Linked DNA regions of Stegostoma tigrinum. The protein of the gene in region 3 interacts with the protein of the main gene of each other region in a pairwise test. Links are inferred from orthologs where the notes say so. Each region holds a gene or a part of one and is shown on either strand. Other genes may lie near its edges.

Region 1 (7,422 bases), on a different chromosome or scaffold from region 3:
CTGGTTTGGTGATTCATTTCTAGCCTTCTGATTTCACCTTCCCTTTCGCCAAAAAGGCAAATGGCACTGGATGGGCCTTGCAGGATCACAGAATTGCTTCTTGATCAATGTGTAAGGTGACCTCGGCTCTTTGATTGTCCCCAGACCTTCCTGTAAAACTACCAAGTGTTTAATTAGAACTTCACTGGTGCAGCCATTTTCTAATTGAAAAATGTTGAGTCAATTAAAGTGAATCATTCTCAACCAATTTCACCCCAATGTCATTTAGAACATAGATCAGTACAGCGCAGTACAGGCACATTGGCCCATGATGTTGTGCCGACCTTTTACCTTAATCCTAAGGTCTATCTAACCTCCACCCCTACCTTATACTATCATCCATATGCCTATCTAATAGCCGCTTACATGCTCCTAATGAGGCGGAATCCACTACCCGCTCTGGTAATGCATTCCATGCCCCGATCACTCTCTGAGTAAAGAACCTGATGTCTCCCCTATATCTACCTCCACTCACTTTAAAACTATGCCCCTCATAATAGCTACCTCCACCCTAGGAAAAAGTCTCTGACTGCCTCCTGTATCTATACTTTTGATCATTTTGTACACCTCTATCACCTCTCATCCTTTGTTGTTCTAAAGAGAAAAGCCCTAGCTCTCTCAACCTTTCCTCGTAAGACCTTCCCTCGATTCCAGACATCTTGATAAATCTCCCCTGCACCTTTTCCAACACTTCCACATCTTTCCTGCAATGAGGCGACCTGAACTGGACACAATACTCCAGATGTGGTCGAACCAGGCTTTTGTATAGCTGGAGCATAAATTCACAGCTCTTGAACTCAATCCCTCTATTAATGAAAGCTAACACACTATTTGCCTTCTTAACAACTCTGCCCGAAACGTCAGCTTTTGTGCTCCTAAGATGCTGCTTGGCCTGCTGTGTTCATCCAGCCCCACACTTTGTTATCTACCCACCTGGGTGGCAGCTTTCAGGGAACTGTGGACATTAACCCCAAGATCCCTCTGCTCCTCCACACTGCCAAGAATCTTTCCGTTAATGGCACGGTGGCTCAGTGTTAGCACTGCAGCCTCACAGCACCAGGGACCTGGGTTCAATTCCCGCCTCAGACGACTGTCTGTGTGGAGTTTGCAGATTCTCCCCATGTCTGTGTGGGTTTCCTCTGCATGCTCCGGTTTCCTCCCACAGTCCAAAGATGTGCAGGTTAGGTGGATTGGCCATGCTAAATTGCCCATAGTGTTTAGGGAGGCTGGGTCTGGGTGGGATGCTTCAAGGGACGGTGTGGATTTGTTGGGCCGAAGGGCCTCTTTCCACACTGTAGGGAATCTAATCTAATCTTAACCCTGTATTCTGCTTTCAAGATTTCCTTTCCAAAATGAATCACCTCACACTTTTCAGGGGTAAGCTCCGCCTGCACTTCTCAGCCCAGCTCTGCATCCTTTCAATGCCCCTTTGTAACCTAAAACAGCCCTTTGCACTGTCCACAACATGACCCACCTTTGTATCATCTGCAAACTTACTAATCCACCCTTCCACACCTTCATCCAAATCATTTACAAAAATCACAAATAGATGACCCAGAACAGACCCTTGTGGTACACTATTTATAACTGAGCACCATGTTGAATATTTTCCGTCAGCTACCACCCTTTGTCTTCTAAGGGTCTGCCAATTCTGAATCTAGTCTGCCAGATTTCCTCCTATCCCATACCTCCTTACCTTCTGCAGGAGCCTACCATGGGGAACCTTATCAAACGCCTTACTTAAATCCATGTATACCACATCCACTACTCCACCTTCATCCACGTGCCTTTCCAAGTTATCCTAAATTCTATCTCTCAGAGACCTTTCCAATAATTTGCCCACCACCGACCTGAGACTAACTTGCCTGTAATTTCTGGGGTTATCCTTATTCCCTTTTTTGAACAAGAGAATAACATTTGCCTCTCTCCAATCTTCCGGCACCATACCAGCGGAGAGTGAGGACGAAGAGATCACCAAAGGCCCTGTGATCTCTTCCCTCGCTTCCCATAGAATCCTTGGGTAAATCCCATCAGGCCCGGGGGACTTATCAATTTTCAACTTCCTCAAAATTCCTAGCACATCTTCCTTACTAACAGCAACCTCCTCCAGCCTACCAGCCTGTTTCACTCTGTCCTCTTCTAAAACTAGGTCTCTCTCAGTTGTGAATGCCGAAGAAAAGTATTCACTCCTCCTATCTCTTTACGATCCATGCACAAATTCTCTTTACAATCCTTGATTGGCCCTACCCTTTCTCTGGTCATTCTTTCATTCCTCACATAGGTGTAAAAAGCTTTGGAGTTTTCCTTGATCCTGTCTGCCAAGGTTTTCTCATGCCCCCTTATAGCTCTCCTAAGCCCTTTCTTCAGCTCCCCACTGGCTAACTTGTATCCCTCTAGAGCCTTTTCCATTTCTTGTTTTCTAAACCTTACAGAAGCATCCTTCTTCCTCTTAACCAGTCATTCAACACTCTTGAGAACCAAGGCTCTCTCACTTGACCGCATCTTCCCTGCCTGTTAGGGACAAACATATCGAGCACAAGCAGTATGCATTCCTTAAACAATCTCCACATTTCAATAGTACTCTTTCCTGACAACATCTGTTCCCATTTTATGTTACCCAGTTCTAGTCTAACAGAATTGTAATTACCCTTCCCCCATTATAAACCTTACCCTGCTGTATGTACCTAATCTTTTCCATGACTATTGTAAAAGTAACAGAGTTATGATCACTACCACCAAAATGCTCTCCTACCAACAGGTCTAACGCTTGGCCCGGTTCATTGCCAAGCACCAAATCCAAAGTAGATGTTCATTTTGCATTCTTTCAGAGGTGTTTTTGATTAATTGTTATGTCCATTTTCCTGGTCACCATGAAATTGCTCAAGTTGCTAAACGTTCTGGCCTCTTCTAATTTTGGTCTTTTCAGCAGACCATTTTTTAAAATTGCTTAACCATTGGTGGCCCTGGTACCTTCAATTTGCAGAAACATAAAAGAGTTGTAATGTACAAGGTCATTTGCTCAGAAAAATGTAGTGCATTCTTTCCGAATTTTTGGCCCATCTTTGACAGCAGGATTGAATGAGTCAAGCTTCCCAAATAACAGCATGATGTCAGAAAAGCTAACACTATCTAAAAGGCAACTATGATGAGTAAATACCTTCAAGAGTGTGTTATTTCATTGTTCCTCCTGAAATAACTCTATACCGGCGAGTACACAATCACCAAATCACCCTTTATTTATATGTGGGAAGTCCTTGACTTTTTGTCTTATTCCACAGATGAGTTTTCCCTGCACTTTCTGTTTTCATTTCAGATCTCATGCATCCAGTTTTGGCCATTACACCAGATTGGATTCACCACATTGTTTCTCACCTTGCTTTATTTTCTTTAACAAACAGCTTACAGGTGTTCATTTTGCATTCCTTCAGAGGTGCTTTTGATTGATTGTTATGTCCATTTTCCTGGCCACCATGAAATTGCTCAAGTTGTCAAATGTTCCGACCTCTTCCAATTTTGGTCTCTTCAGCAGACCTTTTTTTTATTGCTTAACCATTGGCACTGGTACCATCAATTTGCAGGAACATAAAAGTGTTGCGATGTAGAAGGAGACTATTTGGCGCATTGTGTTTACACTAATTCCTCAAAGGAACATCATTAAGCTGGTCTCATACTTCCCCCCATACCCTTGCACATTATTTCTATCCAAACAATCATTCAATGCCCTTTTGAACGCCTCGTTGAACCTGCATCCAGCATGCTTTCAGACAGTAACTACTCACTGTATGAAAATAATGATTTTTCTCCGTTGCATTTGCAGCAGTTAAGTGGGCCTTGACCTTTGGAATTCCCTTCCTAAACTTCTTCATGTCGCTCTTTCTTGTCATTTATGATGCTTTTTAAATTCTACCTCTTTGCGTGAGCTTGTGGTCGTCAGCTGGCCGAACAGCTCCTTGAGTGTCTTGGGATCAAGCGCCTGCCTATTTATCACCCCGGTGAAATACTCCAGTTTTCAGGCTGAGTAAATTCAAGTCACACAATCAGCAGTTCAGCTTGACCCTTCAGAGAGGTAAGCAACCCTGGTGATTATTTGACAAATCACAAACATGTGAGGCTCCAAATAAAAGGACTGATGTCTTGGGGCAATTTTTCCCAAACATTTCCTGGCTGACAGAATGTTAACATCAGTAAATGATTTTCTGAAGAAGGGTCTAGGTCTGAAGAAGCCTTCCTGCGCCTCTGATGCTGCTTGGCCTGCTGTGTTCATCCAGGCCCACACCTTGTCATCTCAGATTATCCAGCATCTTCAACTCTACCGTCATCCCAGTGAGCTGTTCGTCTCCATAGCGACAGACCACACCCCCCGCATCCCCAGGCCGGACGTGACGCAAAGGAAGTTTGTCCTGCTGACCTGAGGCCTGTGCGGAGAGGCTGCGAGGCGCAAAATGATTCCTACAGAGGACGCGTCCGCCAGGAAAAGGCATATCGAGGAGAAGCTTCAGCAGGTAAATGGCCGGGGTAGCCGTGGAAGAGGAATGGATAGTTGGAGTGCCGTGTGCCGGTCTCTGTCTGCAGTCCCCGTCCAGGGGTCTGGTCGGGGCGAAAGCGGGTGCGATGTGGTGTTATAAGTATTGCCAACTGCTATCCTAATGATGGTCTGATGCCTTTGCATTTACTATTAACTAGGAAGTCAAGTGTCTTTGATTAGATGCATATTTGTGACTTTTCTTTAATAACCAGGAGCAAGAAACCTTGTCGTTCATAAGAGAAAGCTTGGAGAAAAGTGACCAACTGACCAAAAATATGGTAAGTTCATCTTACTTCAGTCGTAGGTCAATGTTTTGTATATTAGAAGCAGCTGGTAAGGTGGACAGTGATAGGGGTTTGGTGGGGTGTCAGAAAGGGTGTTACTACACTACAGACCCTGATTTTATCATGTTTTGTGCATGTGTGGGCTAAATGGCAGTGTGTCACACTGACATATTTCCATTTACTAAAAGAGAATATCATGTTTGCTCCTGGATTGTCAGAGATGATGGTGTGTGTACTACTGTTTATCTCCAGCTCCTGGGGTAAGAAAGAAACTGGGGTTTGCACAATCAACTGTTTTACTTGTCTGTCTGGGTGGTGGAGGTCAAGGGTTTGGAAAGTGGTGTTGAAAAAGGATCGGTGAGTTATTATGCTTCATCTTTTGGATAACATGTACTGTTACTACTGTGCATTGATAGTGGGAACAGTGAAAGGTGAAGATGGTGGGCTGGAGTACCAGTTAAGCTGCTTAGTCCAGGATGGTTTTGAGATTCTTGACAGTTTTTTTGTACTTGTGCTCATCCGTGCAAGTGAGGAGTATGCCATCATACTCTTGCCTTGTGTCTTGTAGATGATGGACAGGATAGGGGAGGTGATGGCCTAGTATTAATGCTGGACTGTTGACCCAAGAACCTAGGTAATGTTATGGGGACCCAGGTTCAAATCTTACCATGGCAGATTGTGGAATTTGAATTCAATGAAAACCTACAACTGAGAATCTAGTGATGGCCTTGAATCCATTGATGATTGTCAGGGGAAAAATCCATCTGGTCCACTAATGTCCTTAGGGAAGGAAACTGCCTTTCCCTTACCTAGTCTGGCCTACATTTGAATCCAGACTCTCAGCAATGTGGTTGACTCCTAACTGCTCTCTATGCAATTAGGGATGGGCAGTAAATGCTGGCTTAGCCAGCAATGTCCTCATCCTTTGAAAGAATAATAAAAGTTGGGGAGTCTGAGTTACTTGCAATAAAATTCCCAGTCCCTGTCGTCTTTTGTGCTTCCAGTAATACGTGGCTAGTCCAGTTCAGCCTGTGGTCAGTGGGATCCTTTACAATATCGTCAGTGATTTCATTTGTGGTAATACCAAAGGGAGGTGCTTAGATTCTATCTTGTTGGAGTAGTTGCATTTGGAAGGCAATGAGTGTTAATTGCCATTAGTTAGCTCAAGCCTCACATTGTGCAGGTCTAGTTGCATTTGAACATAAACTGCAAGTATTTGGGGTGTTGTGAAGTGTGCTGAACACCGTGCAATCATCAGAGAATGTCCCAATTTCTGACCTTATGATGGAGGGAAAGGCATTGAAGCAGCCAAAGGTGATTTAGCTTAGGACGTTACATGAGGAACTCCTGTGTGTGATGTGAATGAAATGTATAGATGTTTCAAAGTCCTCAACCCTATCTGGTATTTGAATACTGTAGAGTGATGCTGTTGGGCTGGATGGGATTATATTTTCACCATTTTGAAATATTTCAAATTGTGTTACATGTAAAATATTTTTTCTCTTTATCATCTCTTTTGCCTGATGAGCTTTATTCTATTTTTAAAACAGGTCTGCAGGATTTCACGTTTGTGTTTATAGAGGATTGTCTCATTAGATTGGAGATAATGGGAACTGCAGTTGCTGGATAATCTGAGATAACAAAGTGTGGAGCTGGATGGATACAGCAGGCCAAGCAGCATCTCAGGAGCACAAGAGCTGACGTTTTGGGCCTAGACCCTTCATCAGAAAGAGTCTAGGCCCAAAATGTCAGCTTTTGTGCTCCTCTGATGCTGCTTGGCCTGGTATGTTCATCCAGCTCTGCACTTTGTCTCATTAGATCACTTTTTTTCTCAAGCCAGCTTCCACTTTGGAATTAGACTTGCCAATGATAAGCTCAGCTGGGACCATTACATTTGGGGGCTCTTGCAGGATTTGAATTCAGTGGGTTTAATAGGAATCTGTGTCTTTTTTAAAGTAATCGGTACGTGAGGCTTCTGCATCTAAAATGGCTGTGTTGTGATGAAGTATGTTGCATGGAATTTGAAGATTATTTTGAGTGTTATTGGGTTTATTTGGTAGTATTTGAAATCAAATCAGGATCTCTCAGGATGAGATGCTTTGTGTTTATCCACCCTGTAAAAAGGTAAAGTCATCATCGTCTTACCAGATCATAGGGCTGCACTGTGATAAGAGAGGCATGACCGGTGATGGTTTAACCTGAGGGTCACCACATCTCAAAGGGAAAAATCTGAGAAGCATAGTCGTTCAGAAATTCAGCTGCTGCAGAAATTGAACTCACGTTGTTGACATCACTGCATCGCAAACAAAACTGTCCAGCCAACTGACCTAACTGGTAATATTTATCCAGAATTGGAAGAAAGCAAGCCAGAAATTGGGATGCGATGGCTGGAATTAGTTAAGGTACAGTTGAAAATGAAGAGACTTGAACTAGAAACACACCCAGGAAGCTGGAAAGTGAGGAGAAAGAAAATCAAGAGTAATGGACATAGTTTAGGAACCTTGAAATTGAAAGGGAGAAAAACAAGAGGGGTATAGAATTAGTAGAACTCAACTCCTAAAAGATAAATAACTT
Region 2 (8,125 bases), about 16 Mb from region 3:
TTATAAATCATTAAAGGTGGCAGGATGGCTGTGGAGGACTTTTAAGAAAGAATGCAATATTCTTGACTTCAAAAATAGGGGCATAGAGTACAAAAGCAGGGAGGTTATGATGAACTTTAAATATACACACTGGCTAGATCTGAACTGGGAGTGCACTAGTGTATAGTTCTAGGAGCCACTTTAGACAGTGTGTGAAAAAATGTTTACAGGAATGCCTCCAAGGATGAGACACTTCAGTTATGCCTTGTCTCCTTGGATGCTGCCTGACCTGCTATGATCTCCACCATTTTTGGTTTTCACTTTGGTTACGAGGATAGGTTGGAGAAGTTGGGACTGTTCTCCTTGGAGAGTAGAAGGCAAAGTGGAGATTTGATGGAAGTTTTCAAAATCATGAAGGGTTTGCACTGATAGGTAGGCAGAAACCTTTCTCACTCATAAATGATTCAAGAACCAGTGGGCACAGTTTCAAAGTGCTTTGCAAAGGAAGAATGTGAGGTGAGAAAAAACATTTTCATATGGCGAATAGTTAGGGTCTGGAATGCACAGCCTGCAGGCGTGATGGAGGCAGGCTCAATTAAGTATTCAAGAGAGCGTTTGATTTTAAAAAAAGAAACAACATGCAGGGTTATAGGAATAAGACAGGAGAAAAGCACTAAATTAACATGTACAGAGATTACAATGGGTCAAATGGCCTCCTTCTGCACTGTCATATTTCTGTGGCTGTGATTCTGTGAACTTCTTCTAGTGCAGTAACAGCCATCCAAACATCAAAGTGGAAAACTACCCAGCTGTGAGCAAAAACTGCTAACAAATGCAATCCAGGTAATTATTGTCACCAGTCCACTCTCAATCATGAGCAAAAGAAGGTGTCTTCAACAGTGTCATCAGTTGCCATTTACTCACCAACAATCTATTCACCAATGCTCTATTTGGATTCTGCCAGGAGCATACAGCTCCTGATTTCATTATAGTCTTTGTTCAAACAAGCAAGAAATGAGGTGAGACGGAGAGACAGTTGAAGAATTGAAATTCATGACTGAAAGGCCATGTGTGTGAGCTAAATAGAGGTGTCCTGCAAAGAGATCATTCAGTGTGCAATTTAGACTAGAAGAGATCTACAGATTTGCAATGAATGCAAGTAGCTAAATTGAAAGAAGTGAAAGTAAATGACCGTTTCCCTTCTGAGGGAGGGGCGGGGGGGTGTGGTTCGGGGCTTTTCCTGTTGATAATGGAGGAGTTCTGAGGATGGGTGTTACATGCGCTGCACTTGCGTGAAACTATGCTGTAGGATAAAGGTTCTTGTGAAGCAGTGATAGTGTCCCTATCTCTCAGCTACGAGACCTGGGTTTAAGCCTCACCTGCTCCAGTGATGTGTAAATAATATCTCTGAACAGGTTGATTAGAAAATGTTTTATGCTTTTGGAAACGGAGGAGACGTGAAGATGGCAAAGGATTAAACAAGGACCTCACCAAGGGAACAAATCCATTAGAATTCTGAAAGTGGAGAGCAAGGTTGTTGCCGACGTAATACTGGACGTAGTGGAAATGGCAGAAGACGAGCTGTTGTCATCAGATGCTAGAAGAGTAGAAGGCGACCATTCTAGTAAATCACTTCTGCACCTTCTGAACATTCTCTATGAAGTTTAGATATCAGAATTGGAAACTATACTGCAGATGAGGCCTAACCAATATTTTCTGAAGATTTCGCTAACTTCCTTGCTCTTGTACTCTATGCCTCTCCTTTCTGAAGTCAAATATCTCCTATGGAATTTTTAAAATAGCCTTCATGACGTGGCTTGCCATCTTCAAAGGCTTGTTTCTGCATCTTCCTTAAAACTGTATTCTGAGGGAAAGCCACAGACTGCTTCTTTTTCTCAAATTTAAAGGGTGTGAACAGTTAAACCACTTTAGATCCAAACACTTATATTTTCCAATAAGTGTTTTCTTCAGTTTTGAATGTATAATGGCATCTTTCCCAAAGAGAACAAAAATTCTCTAAATAGCAACTAAGTATTGAAAATAAGGAAACAGATTTCTTTTTGTTTTCCAAAGCCTGTTAGTGAAAGAATTCCAACGGCTGGTGGCTGTCACTTTTTGTTTCCCCGACTTCAGGCTGAGGATCCCTAATGGTTCACATATTCTCAGAGATACCATGAACTATATTCAGCAGAAGGGGCCAAACTCCACAAAAATTAAGGGAGATGAGTTTTTCTCCCACTCCTACAAAGGAGCCAGCAAAGGAGGTCAGGTCTTTGTCACTGTCACTGTGTTATAATTTCATATAGCTACTTGTGCCTGCAAATCTTGTTCTTTCATACAAACGCAGCACTTTTTTACTTTTCCATGTCATGGCCATTTCATTTTTAGAAATTTATCAAATCTACAACACTTCCATGCCCTGCATTCCAGATCCTGCTGATTCACTACATAAAAGTAATTCTCATCTCTCATTCTCGTTATTTTACCAGTTATCATGAATCTTCACTGTCTGTCCCTGACTCTATTAGCGGAAGCAGTTTCTCCTCATCAACTCTTTCAAACCTCCCTTAATACTGAGCATCCCCTATTTATCATTTATCCTTCAATGCTCATTCTCTAGCCTCAGTGATGAAGTTCCTCAACACTGGGAGCATTCTGACAAATCTACTCTGCATCTGTGTTTCTATGGTACAGTGTTTGTGTTAAATGAGTCTGTATCAATGTGTCTCTGACCAGGAAAATTAATCACCTGAAAAATGCACAAAGCCCTTGCCCATGTTTACACTCTGCAATCTTTGCTCATGTTTGGTGGTTTGCAAAAGAAAGAACACGCATTTAAATGGTGCCCTTTGATTCTTTCTTTGGGAAATTCCAAAGTATCTTAGGAACATCTTTAAACATTTCTAACCATATAAAGATGGAAGCAAAGCAAAATTTCACTCAAAGACTATGCTGCATTGTCGGAAATGTTGTCTGCCCTTTCAGGGGTCATAAAATATCCCACAGCAGTATTTAAAAGTATGGTGAGTTGTCCCAATGTCTTATTTCATTCGATGCACAGATGCCACAAATCAGAAAGGTCCACCATCATGCTGTCAGTGTTTGTGACAATATGGCATGCCCTCACAACTGTGCCAGGTGAATCAAGCAAAATGTAATAGTCTGAAATGGGGAATGAAGGTACCTCCTTCAGAAACCAGGCTGCAACCCTGAGGAAGTTCTGAGGAAGGGTCACCAGACCCAAAACATTAACTCTGATTGTTTTCATCACAGATGGTGCCAGACCTGTTGAGCTTTTCCAGCAACTTCTGTTTTTGCAACCCACCAAACCTTGGCTAACATTTACAATAAATACTTTAGATATCATACTCTTCTCCTTATGAAAGTAAATTGAAATACCTCAGTAAATTAATTCATTAATTAAACTAGACTGACATGCAACAGATAATTGGAACTGCAGATGCTGTTGAATCTGAGATAATAAGGTGTGGAGTGGATGAACACAACAGGCCAAGCTGCATCAGAGGAGCGGGAAAGCTGACGTTTCGGGCCTAGATCCTTCTTCAGATCTTTTTCCCCCCACGTTCTTTCATAAATTTCTAATAGCAAGGGAGCTAATTTCTTTTTATATGTGAAATATCTAACTGCACCACCCCTGGTTAGCATTGATGCGGACACACCTGACGTAGACATTGTGAGTCAGACATCCCCTCTGTTTACAGTGGAGATAACAGCGCACGCACAGTGAGCAAGGGGTGGGAAAGCAGTGCGGGCTGACGCTGTGCGGCAGCACGGGAGAGAGTAGCGCAGGCGCAGTGACCGGGGGAAGGGGGAACAGCAACACAGGGTTAGATGGTAGCGCAGGCGCAGTGAGCAAGGAGTTAAGTAATTTCGCAGGGCACGGCGGCACTGCAGCCGCAGGCGCAGGAAAGGGGCAGCATACGGAAGCGCATGCGTAGTGACCAGATGCCGTTGAACAAGGTAGCGCAGGCGCAGTGACCAAGTTCAGGGGAGACGATGGCGCAGGCTCAGTGACTGTGTGCGGTGGAGACGACAGAGCATGCGTAGTGACTATGTTTAGGTTGTGAGATTCGGCGGCGCAGGCTCGGTAACTCTGTGCGGGCTGATGGCAGCACAAGGCGTAGTGATCATGTTTAGTGCGTAAGGGACGGCGGCGCAGGGGAAGTGACCACGCTTTGTTCGAAGACGACAACGGCGCAAGCGCAGTGTGGAATTAGCACTTCGAGCGGTCTGGCGCGTTAACATCAATGTGAGGAGTGGGCTGGCGAGCACAGGCTAGTTGTGATCACGTCTGAGCTCCTTTTTTTCCCCATTCTGCCCATTGGTCTTTCTCATTCATTCGTTAACCACTGTGTAAACTGTGGTCTAAATACAATGCAGAGAAGAGTGGACATTCGGGCAGCTGAAGCAAGGCACTGAGTCCCGGAGTGTGCTGTGGGGGCTGGTGAAGGAGGAAGTTGGCGCTGTGCTGGAGGTTGGTGTAAGTGTAAAGCTGAACTGGGAAAGGAATGCTGGATTGCAAGAAGACCAGGTGCAGGGGGCGGGGAGGTTCAGTATTTTGACTTAAAAATGCAGGTGATAGCTTTACCATTATAAGGCACTTTTATCAGACAACTTATTTGTAAATAATGACTCATTTGAGTTTCTGTAATTTGTTCCAAGTTTTCCGAAAGCTTTGCTTCCTCCAACTGTAGTACCTCCTGTGCATCCCTCACATTCAGCACCTCATCAATGGTGGTTGTACCTTGATCTGTTCATACCCAAGGGCCTTGTAAAAGAACTTGGGGTGTTAAACATTGGAGACTGATTGCACTGGCTTGTATTTCTTGAAGCGTAGAAAGCAAAATGACTGATGAATAAATGTTCAAAGAAAAATCGGAAATTTTGCTAATACTATAAAAATTTTATCATCAATTTTAAAATATTTTATCATCAATTTTAAAATATTTAAAATGATTAAAGGAGTTTAGTGGGCCATTCAGAGGTATTGCTGAGAAGCAGTTCTCACAGAGGCGATGGAAATTTGGAGTTCCCTGCCAAAGAAAGCTATTGATGTGAGGGGTAGACAATGAAAGATTTCTAAACCAAGGTAGTTTTCTTTATTGTTTAAAGTATTAGAGTTGCAGAATCAGGTGAGTAGACATTGGCGTTAAAATGCAGGTCAGCATGTATAGTGTTATTGAAATGTAAAGCAGGCTGAATAATCTTGTGCTCCTGAGATGCTGCTTGGCCTGCTGTGTTCATCCAGCCTCACATTTTATTATCTTGGAATCTCCAGCATCTGCAGTTCCCATTATCTCTGAATAATCTTGTTTTCCCATGAATGTTCTGGCAAAGGATCAAGCCTGTGGTCTGTTTGAGAGAGAGAAAGCTGAAGGAGGTAAGGAACGCATGGGAAGTAATTGAGTTACCTGAGATGATTTTTCACAGCTCCCGAGAATAGTGCATGAACATGAAGTAGGGATGGTGATGGATTAGTCAAAGGCTTTGGCTAATGCTTTCAGGACACTGGTTCAAGTCCCACCATGGCAGCTAGTCGGATATACTAATTTTGATTAAGAAATTTAGTTAATTAATAGTAGAATTTAAAGCTAGTCTCAATATTGATGACCAGTTGTTGTAATAATTCATCTGGCTCACTAATGCCTTTCAGGTAAGGGAATTTGGTATATTAAACTGGCCTGACACACAAGTAATTCCAGATGCACAACAATGTACTTGACTCTTAACTGCCCTCTGAAGTGGCTTGGCAACTGTACATTGGACCAACCAATCCAGAAAAGTCATAACAAATGGACTACAATGGTTCAGCTAGACTGCTGAGCATCATTGTCTCAATTAGGAATGTACAGCAAACACTTGTCTTGCCAGTGACCCCCACATCTCATGGAATAAGTTTTTCAAAAGGTTGCTTCAAGGAACAGTTCGGCAAACATTCAAATTTGCCATCTCTGTGAAGCAATTTTCAAGTGTCAACATCTCTTTTTAAGCTTGCTTTAGAAATGCTGGCCGAGAAATAGAAGACAGAATTTTTGACAAACCTGCGAAATAACTCTTTGATTTGTTTCTCAGTGTTTGATAACAACTAGCCAAATTTTTTTTTGTGGTCTTTTCCCATGCAGATCTGTTTTCTATCATGTCGTCTAGTGATGGGTTGTTACCAGCAGAAAAACGTGAAAGTGAAGATGAAGTGATATTTGTGAGCGTATGTATTCTGATATTGCACTGTACTTCAAAATTATATGTTATTCCACAAAGTTGTAACTTTTTCCCTCTGGTCTGTTAGCCTCATGACATTCTTAAGGAGAACTTTCAAATTCATGAAGGACTTAATGCAGCTCTTCCCCTGTATGATACAATACCCTTTGGGGAGCGGCACAGGCTGAAGGGCTGGGATGGTGCAGTGCAACTGTTTTTTTTAATTTCAAAAGTATGCTTTTCATAAAACAATCTCTTTGTATATATACATTGTTGCAAATGCATTTCAGTTCTGTGCAATATCATATCAGGTAAACAAACAAACATTTGAGTTTGATTTTATCCAAACAAACCAAAGGAATCTCTGACATGTGTAAGGTTATACTTACATAGATTGAGGCACTAGGACTCTTAGGCTGGCAGAAATGAGTGTGGTGTTAGAGATTTGGAGCTGCAGGAGCACAGCAGGTCAGACAGCATCTGAGGAGCAGGAAAGTTGATGTTTTGGGTTTGGACCCTTCATCAGGCCCAGACCCAAATCTTAGACCTTCCTGCTCCTCAGATGCTCTCTGACCTGCTGTGCTCCTCCAGCTCCACATTATATGGACACTGACTTCCACCTGCGGTCCTTTCTGTCTCCTACTGGAGCTAGATGTCATTCTCCTTGTCTTCTCTAAACTACCTTCTGGGAGTAGAACATCTCACTGTATGTTAATGACCAGAATTGGACACGGTACTTCATGTCCAATTTGATCAGCAGCCTATACCTTGTCATTTTGACAATAATGCATAAAAACTTCTCTCTTCCTGCAGAGATGGCTGATCTTTTTGTTGCATTTTTGTAATTTATGCGATTGAAGGACAACATAATATTTTTTCTTGCCAGTTTGTTGATAACCAATTTCTCTGAGATTATGGTTTGATTTCAGTGAAACTTGGCATACAGGGTATGGTTAAAAGAATAATTAGTCTATCTTTGTGAAGATGTGGATGCAGACCCTGGAATTTTTGTGTAATTGATCCACTAACATTGAATGATGAGACTAATTAAAGTTTTTATAGAATGTTATTGATGTATTTTAGAATATTGTGGAATATCAAAATTTGAACAGGGTTTTCAGAGCATGTTGTTGGATATTTTCTTAGTTAAATTGGGGTTCTCAATACAAAGAGTAATTTTTCTCAGAGCATCAACCAACCAGAGAAACACTTTAAAAAAAAAGCTGCATAATTGTAAACTTTGAGTTAATACACTGCAGAGAAGCTACTTGATCTAGTGAGTGTCCCATTCACTTGTTTTTTGTTTTGATTTCTATTAATTGTATTGAATATTTTTTCTAAATGGGTCGTTGCACTTGATAACAAGCTGGAGAGCTGGGTGAACACAGCAGGCCAAGCAGCATCAGACCTGCTGTGTTCACCCAGCTCTAAACCTTGTTATCTCAGATCCTCCAACATCTGCAGTTCCTACTGTCTCTGTTACACTTAATTTTGTTTCTTCTCCCTGTCCTATTGACCACCAGTCACTTAGTTGATGGATATTCTTTGAAATTCCTGTTGCCCTCAAAACCTGGAGTCTGTTGACGGATTCCAGAAGAATGATTATAGAAGCTTTGGTTTCACATGAGGCAGGTTGAATAGCCATCACCTACGTATGTCAGCAAATCAGAACTGTTGGGTATATTTTCACTTTGGATTCTGTGCATTGCTGATTTGTTAAGCCAGCAGATATTACCTTTGAAAAGATTGGAATCATGTTCAGTTGACAGGAGTGCATAACCAGAGTACTAACTTACAACTCAACCATTTCAAAACGACTTGAAGTGTTGGGTCTCCAGGAAGACACCAGTTCATCCACAGTTTTAATCTAGCTTTCATCTTGAAGCCACACCTTTTGGATGCCTGAAACTCAGAGAAAATTAATAAT
Region 3 (7,885 bases):
TCCTGGAGTCAGTGATTCACCCTGACCAAACCTGTGCTGTGCCGGGAGGAAGATCGCTGAGAGCCTCGCGCTCATCAGGGATACGATCGCCTACATACAGGACAGGCGGGTGGACACCTGCCTCGTCAGCCTGGACCAGGAGAAGGCCTTCGACAGGTTCTCTCATGCTTACATGAGGGACGTCCTCTCCAAACTGGGGTTCGGGGAGGGCATCCGCAATTGGATCCGGCTGCTCTACGCCAACATCGTTAGCACAGTCTCGATCAACGGGTGGGAGTCAGGCAGGGCTGCCCGCTCTCTCCTGCCTTGTTCGTGTGCTGTGTGGAGCCCTTCGCTGTCTCCATCAGGAAGGACGTGAGCCTGAAGGGCGTGACTATCCCAGGCAGCGGAGGCCTTCAGGTCAAGACCTCCCTGTACATGGACAATGTCGCCGTCTTCTGCACCGATCGTCGCTCGGTGAGTAGGCTGTTGGACATCTGCGGCCAGTTTGAACTGGCCTCGGGTGCCAAAGTCAATAGGGGTAAGAGCGAGGTCACGTTCTTCGGGAACTGGGATGACCGCTCCTTCATCCCCTTCACTGTCAGGACGGACTACCTGAAGATGCTGGGTGTTTGGTTTGGTGGAGCTGGGGCGTGCACTAAGACTTGGGAGGAGCGTATCACCAAATTGAAGCAGAAGCTGGGCAGGTGGACGCTCCGGTCCCTCTCCACCGCGGGTAAGAACCCGGTTGTCAGGTGCGAGGGGCTTTCGGCACTGTTGTATGTGGCGCAGGCCTGGCCTATTCCCTGGACCTGCGCCGCTGCAGTCACCCGGGCCATCTTCCACTTCATTTGGGGGTCGAGGATGGACCGGGTCCGCAGGGACACCATGTACAAAGACCTGGGAAATGGGGGGGAAAGGGCGTACCGAACGCCACCCTCGCCCTGACGGCTACCTTTGTGCATAGATCCTCAGTACGCAAACACCAAATGTCACTACTTACTGAGGTTCTACCTGTCCCCAGTATTGCGAAGGATGGGCCTGGCCTCGTTGCCGCGGAACGCTCCGAGTAGTTGGACTGTTCTGTACCACCTGTCCTACGTGGAGAAATTTTTGAAAGGAAACACCTTTGACCACAAGGCCGTCAGGCAGTGGTCAGCACGTAGTATCTTCGAGACCCTTTGGGAAAAGGAGAGGGTGGATCCCATCGTGTGGTTCCCCACGCAGGCTGCCAAAGTCGTTTGGCAGAATGCCTCATCGCCAGAACTTTCAAACAAGTACAAGGACATTGCTTGGCTGGCGGTGAGAGGGGCTCTGCCAGTGAGATCCTTTATGCATGCCCGGAATCTCTGCGTCACCGCACGCTGCCCTCGAGGTGGCTGCGGCGGGGATGAGTCTGTTGATCACCTCCTTCTGGCGTGTGCCTATGCGCAGGAGGTCTGGAGGGGGATGCAGTGGTATTTGTCGAGGTTCGTCCCGAGCAGCTCCGTGACGCAGGACTCCATGCTATACGGGCTGTTTCCTGGGACGCACACCGAGACTAACATCAACTGCGCCTGGAGGACCATCAATGCGGTGAAAGACGCTCTTTGGTCTGCCAGCTGAAAGAACTGACTCTGACCGAATGTTGCAGACTGGCGCACTCTAAGGTCTAGGACTACGTGCTGAGGGATGCGCTAAAGCTTGGGGCAGCCGCCGCCAAGGCGCGGTGGGGAAAGACCACGGTATGAAACCCCTCGTCCAGAATAGAAAAAAGGGCCCTATCTGGTACCTGGGCCCAGCTGGCGCCTTCCCCAACTGGTCAGGGGGCCAACTGGGACTGTGCAGGGTGACAACTGCCGGGGTATTTTCTTTGCTTTGTTTTTTTTCCTTTTAGTTGATGTATGTACCCCCTGGGTAACCCAGAGCGGCTTGCATGACAGGGTAGGTGTATAAATATGTTTTATTTTTTGTACATCTTATGAATAAAGTATATTTTTTCAAATAAAACAAAAGTGACGAAACGTCTGAAAACTAACCTTCCAGCTCAGCGAGCAATCTCACATCCAGAACCTCAACCTGAGCTACAAATCTTCTCAAAACTCGCTACAACCTTTCCGTATCTGCCGTCAAGTCCTCTAAGAATGATTTTGTTTCAATAAATGTCACGTCTCATTCTTCTAAATTCCAGTGAGTACAAACCCAACTTTATTCAACTTCTCCTCATAAGACATTCCGTCCATATCCAGTATCAGCCTACAAAACCTTCTCCATATTGTTTCCAATGCTAATATATCTTTCCTAACGATAACGTCACAACATTCTAGTTGCGGTGAATATTTCTAGCAGAACACCCACACTTTTATAATCCATTCCCTTTGGAATTTAAAAAAAAATCAACATTCTATTCGCCTTCACTATTATCCACCCGAACATGGATGCTAACTTTTTGAGATTCATGGATTTTATAATTCAATTGATCATCCTGGATTTAGAACTCTAACCGTCAGTGTTTTCTTTAGCATTATGATGTGTCAGTGCAAGGAAGTAAAACTTAACTTTTGGCACCCATTTTCAAGTATTCACAGATCACACAGATTCGAAGAACATGCAGGTGTGTGAAAAAGAACTTCAAGCCGCACCACCGCGCAAGATGAAATGTAATAAAGGTAAAAATCGCCGTTGTCTTAGCAGACCATAGGGCAGTGCTTTTATTAGAAGACGATTGGTGGTAGTTCATCTGCAGGTCACCATACCTCAGGTGAGGGGGAAGAAATTGAGAAAAGTTACCATTGAAGGACTTAAGTTGATGCGGAAATTGGTTTGGTGCACAGCAAAGGAGTCAGTGATTCCAAGGTCAATTTCTGACCGTTTGAAAAACTGTCCCTAAAAGAGCGACATTAATCAGTTTCTAAATCACGAGAAATTTTTACTGCATCAAGCCGCCAACTAACAAGAAACCCAAGAACTTGGTGTAATTTTGACCGTGGCAAGGGAAAAAGACGATCAAAATACTTGACGTCGCACGGTGAAAACAGTGAAATGCAACCGGGAAATGCTAGCATCAGCTCGGACAAGGGGGAAGGAAACCCCGTCTCTGGGCCCGGCGGAAAGGGGTAGACCCCAGTCTCCGGGCCTGTCACACAGGCCTCACCACTCACCTCCGTGTTCCTCCAGACACCTCCTTTAATCATTATCCGCGGCATCCTGGCAGTCAGCGACTGGTCCGAGGGAATCCTCGGCAGCTGCAAACGGTTAGGAAGGAGCTCAGTTATTTAACCAAACTTGAACCCAACTCCGGTGATAAACCTCCGGCCCTAGGTGCAGCAACGGGCGATGAGGTGACAAGGACAACACAGCGCTCCCAAGGTGGCCCGCTGCCGCCACCAAGAGCGCCGCCAAGCCTGGCTGACTGACACTGCACCCATTCCACTCCTCTCAACTTTACACCGGACAGATCACTTTGCAACGGCATCATCGTAAATAAACAAATCTTTGATTGTGGGTAGTCATGCAACGTGGGAAAACGACCGTTCGATCCAACTCGTCCATGCCGACTAGTTTTCCCAAACTAATCTACCCTAATTTCCCTGCGTTTGACCCATATCCTTTTACTACTCACGTAGCTGTCAAAATGTCTTATAAATGTAACTGTATAAGTGCATCTACCACTACTTCTGGCAATTAATTCCATTCATGCACCATCCTCTGTGTAAAGACATTATCCCTCCGTCCCTTTGAAGTCTTCTCCTTCTCACCTAGAACCAATGCCCTCAAAGTTGAGAGGGGAACGATTTAAAAGGGACTTGTGGGCAACTTTTTCATACTGAGGCTGCTTAGTCAAGATTGGTGTTTCTGTGAAGGAAGAGCATAAATTTCTGCTGAGGCAGGTTTATTGAAAGGGTTCTCTTACCAAGCTCCAGGGTAGTTCCTGGCAGCTTGGTCTAAGTCACTGCGGCCTCAGTGGTATAGAGGAACGCTGACCTTCATTGCTCTGACAGCGTAAGTGCTCTGCTCTACTTTCTGCTACCTTAAATTCAATCACTCTGCTACTACACTGACTGTGCAACAAGAGTCAAGTTCCATCACTTTTACTATAGCCTTCAACATCTTCACTCATTCATCCTTCTTTCCCCTAACCTCCCACAGCATTAAATATGCATGGCTTCTGCTCTACCTGTGCACTTGCCCAGGAGGCCTCATCACCTATTGTCCACCTGTCCCAGCAGTATTAGTCATGCTGATACACATCCACATTTTGGCTGAAAGAAGTTTCCTCAAATCCCTTCTAAATCTCCTGTCCCTTACCTTAAATTTATTGTCCATCTAACAAGGGGAGAAGCTTCTTTGAACCAACTGTATCTATGCCTCTTGCAATTTTGTACACCTCAATCAGGTCCCCTCTCAGCCTTCTCTACTCTCAGGAAAATATCTCCAGCCTTCTCAGTCTCTCTTCATAGCTAAATTAATCCAGTCCAGGTAACATCCTGTTGAATCTCTTCCTAGAATCATAGGATATAATCATAAATCCTTACAGTGTGGAAGCACATCATTCGGCGCATCAAGTCCATGCTAACACTCTGAAGAGCATTGCAGCCCTCTACCCTATCTCTGTAACCCTGCAATTCCCCCAGCTAATCCATCTAGCCTGCACATCCTGGAGAGTATGGGCAATTCAGCATGACCAATCCACTTAACTTGCACATCTTTGGACTGTGGGAGGAAACTGGAGCGCCAAGAGGGAACTCATGCAGATATAAGAAAATGTGCAAACTCCACACAGACAATCACCAAATTCTAGAATCAAACCTGGGCCCCTGGTACTGCGAGGCAGTAATGCTAACCACTGAGCCACCGTACCATCTCAGCTCTCAGTCATGTTCAACCCAGAGCTCTTCCTCAGAACTGGTCCTTTCGAGTGTATAATTCACTGCCACCTTACTTCCAGATATGCCCATTTTGATGAAGTTCTGCTCTTCTCGCCATCAGGCCTTCGCTTTTAATCTTTCAGCCTTAGCATGTTCATTGCTTTCTGTCTCCATTTCTGAAGAATGGTCAAACCAGAATCAAAACATTAACTCAGTTTCTATTTCCACAGATGTCGCTAGACATGCTGAGTTTCTCCAGCATTCTCTATTTGTTCCATTTTCCTCCAGTGCAGACTTGCCATTTTTAATAATATTTTTCATGAACCTTCAACACAAGTTTTCTCTGGTACAATCATATTCCTCCTACAGTCTGGTGACCAGAACTGTACCCACTACTTCATCTGTGACCTAATATCTTATACACAGCAACCATTACTTCCCTCCTCTTGTACTCAATGTCTCAACTAATAAAGCAAGTCTCCCTTAAATCTTCTAAAGCACCATATCCACCTGTCCTGCGGCCTTCAAATAACTGTGGTTATGCACACAAAATTCTTCTGATTCTCTGTACTTCTTAAGGCTCTACCATTCAACATGTACTCCCTCGCCTTGTTAGTCCTCTTAAAATGTATCACACCTCACTTTTCATGGTTAAATTCCTTTTGCCACTGTTCAGCCCATCTTGCCAGCCTGTCTAACAACTGTATCAACCATTAAAGTTTCTTGACACCTGGTCACTGGACTCAAAACGTTAAGACTTTTGGTTTTTCTTTAGATGTTGCTAGAATTGTTGAGCTTCTCCAGCAATTTCTATCTTTATGTGTCTCAGATCTCCAGCATCTTATGTTCTCTGTTTTACATTAACTTTTCATTTCCATCCAATGCTGCCTAAATCATGTTCCCCTTTTTAGTGTATGTGTTTCCCTGAAACTCTTCGTGTTTTTGCACGTCGACTGGGGTAAATTTTAAAGTTGTGTGGGTCATAGTGGTGAGATGAACTTCAGACAGTTTTGGGGTGGGGGGGTGGTAGGTGGAAGAAAACTACGAGTCCCATGATGCCCTGGAATGTTTGGTGGGGGAGGTTGGTGTGAGGACGGCGACGCAGTGCGCATGTTCCGCCGGCGTTGCCGCGGTGCAGGCTGGGATGTGAGTTCCACACTGACCCTCCTCCCCTTCCCCAGACCCAGGCCAGTTCCCGGTGACCATGGTGGGCACCTACTGTTGTGTGCCGGGCTGCTTCAACAACACACTCAAGAACAAGGAGCTCTCCTTTCACGTCTTCCCCAAGGACGAGACGCTGCGCGGCGTTTGGATCAGAAACCTGTCGCGCTTGGACGAGAGAAAATTCAGCGTGTGGCAGCCCAAAACCCATCACAAAGTCTGCGACGCCCACTTTGCTGGAGGCAAGAAGACCTACATGAACAATGTGCCCATCGTCTTCCCCGTGAAGGTCGAGAGGTCCCGCAAGAAGGAGCAGGCCAGGCTCCTGCTGCTGGGTGCCAAGATTACCCCACCAGGTACACTCCACACATGCAGCAGCAGATGGACATACCCCGCCTCTAGTGGTCAGGTCAAAAGTTTATAATCCCTGTTGAATTTAGCGTCGAAAATGTCAGAAACGTTGAAAATTCTGATCGTTTTATTTGTGGATAAAAAGTAATCCGCTTAATTTTAGGGAGATTTTAGCGGTCGGGTCTGTATCTTAAACAGAATTCGCTCCCTTGTAAATCAATTACACAGACGTGGAGATTTCCATTTGAAGTGCCTGAGCTGCAGTCTGTTGTTCACAGTGTAATCTGAACTCTTCAACTGTGTTACTGTTATATAATTCGCTAGTTTTTATTGAGTATTTCGTGATGACGTTGTGTTTTTCAAATGGGTCCTGGATATAGCTGGTTTAATTTTAGCTTCTTCCATCGTGCCGTTCCCTACTGAGAAAACAGGAAAGTAATAACGTGTGAAGCTGGATGAACACAGGCCAAGCAGCATCTCAGGAGCATTGACACTTGATGACTGGGAAATATTTGAGTGCTAATCTGGAATGCTTTCCTTTTTTTTCGACGTCCGTTAGTGGGTCGAGCAAAAAATCTCATAAGAGGCATGGCGAAAAAAAAGGAAGATCACCTCACCCCACCCCCACCATGGCATATCCTTCGCAGAAATTCCCCTAAGGATACTCTCAGCTAGGTTGCACATTCTGCAGTAATGGCACAATGCAGTGCAACGTACTGCCCTAGTTATTTAACGAAGATAGTGAGGTGGAGTTTGAAATGAAAAAAAGCCATTCTTCCAGTGGCAGCATAGTCTGCACTGTGACAGACCTATTAGTCAGCACTGATATTCATGAGCTGTTATACAAAGCTTACTGAGTATAGCAGAGTTCAATGCTATTGGCGTTTTAAAACTATTAACAACCATAGTTTTTTTTTATCTGATTTGAATGTCTTTCTTATAAATCTGTCTACCCTGTACGAAATTCTAATGTGGTTCCAGATGTTTTGGCCAAATATCAGCCAACGTGTACTCTGGCTTAATTGTCAGATTAGTTTCTAGGAATATTTCCTCTACTTTTATTATGGCATGTTATTTGACAAGCATAGTGGAACTAATTCAGAATTATCATGGAAACAGCATCAAGAAACATTGTATCCAATTAAGATTGATCAGAAAATGAAATTTGCCTTTAAGTGTATGGTGGCATTGTGGTTTTGCAATTAGATTAGTATTCCAGTTCTACAGGCATCAATTTCATTCCCATTGCTGTAAATGGGGAATTCAAATTTAATTCATAAATTAAATTTTAAAAGAAGGAATTAAAAGCTTATTAGTAATGGTGACAACCAAAGCTGCTGTTTTGTGTGAAATCCATCTGGTTTACTAATGTGCTTTAGGGAAGAACGTCTTCTGTCCATATCTAGTCTATCCTATATGTGATTTCACATCCACAGATATGGTTCTTAACTATCCTCCGAAATGGCCCAGCAAGAACTCATCCCTATCATAACTGCTGTGAATAATAAGAGTGCAATTGAATGCTCATACTGTATGCATCTTCAGCA

The links. The genes of interacting proteins can lie anywhere in the genome.
Region 1: the proteins of cdc5l (region 3) and exoc7 interact in a two-hybrid assay, tested with the Homo sapiens proteins (2 studies listed by BioGRID and IntAct). The link is inferred for Stegostoma tigrinum from reciprocal best matches to the Homo sapiens genes CDC5L and EXOC7.
Region 2: the proteins of cdc5l (region 3) and znf451 interact in a two-hybrid assay, tested with the Homo sapiens proteins (2 studies listed by BioGRID and IntAct). The link is inferred for Stegostoma tigrinum from reciprocal best matches to the Homo sapiens genes CDC5L and ZNF451.

The regions. Positions count from the first base shown.
Region 1 is NC_081375.1:4,041,317-4,048,738, forward strand, and holds the start of exoc7 (exocyst complex component 7), read left to right. Parts: upstream 1-4,411; 5' UTR 4,412-4,481; coding exon 4,482-4,541; intron 4,542-4,776; coding exon 4,777-4,842; intron 4,843-7,422. UniProt on the Homo sapiens protein: Component of the exocyst complex involved in the docking of exocytic vesicles with fusion sites on the plasma membrane.
Region 2 is NC_081357.1:92,286,744-92,294,868, reverse strand, and holds the start of znf451 (E3 SUMO-protein ligase ZNF451), read left to right. Parts: upstream 1-5,114; 5' UTR 5,115-5,319; coding exon 5,320-5,380; intron 5,381-6,122; coding exon 6,123-6,205; intron 6,206-8,125. UniProt on the Homo sapiens protein: E3 SUMO-protein ligase; has a preference for SUMO2 and SUMO3 and facilitates UBE2I/UBC9-mediated sumoylation of target proteins. Plays a role in protein SUMO2 modification in response to stress caused by DNA damage and by proteasome inhibitors (in vitro).
Region 3 is NC_081357.1:76,296,154-76,304,038, forward strand, and holds the start of cdc5l (cell division cycle 5-like protein), read right to left. Parts: upstream 3,332-7,885; 5' UTR 3,165-3,331; coding exon 3,120-3,164; intron 1-3,119. Other genes in the region: protein downstream neighbor of Son-like, read left to right, coding at 6,031-6,343.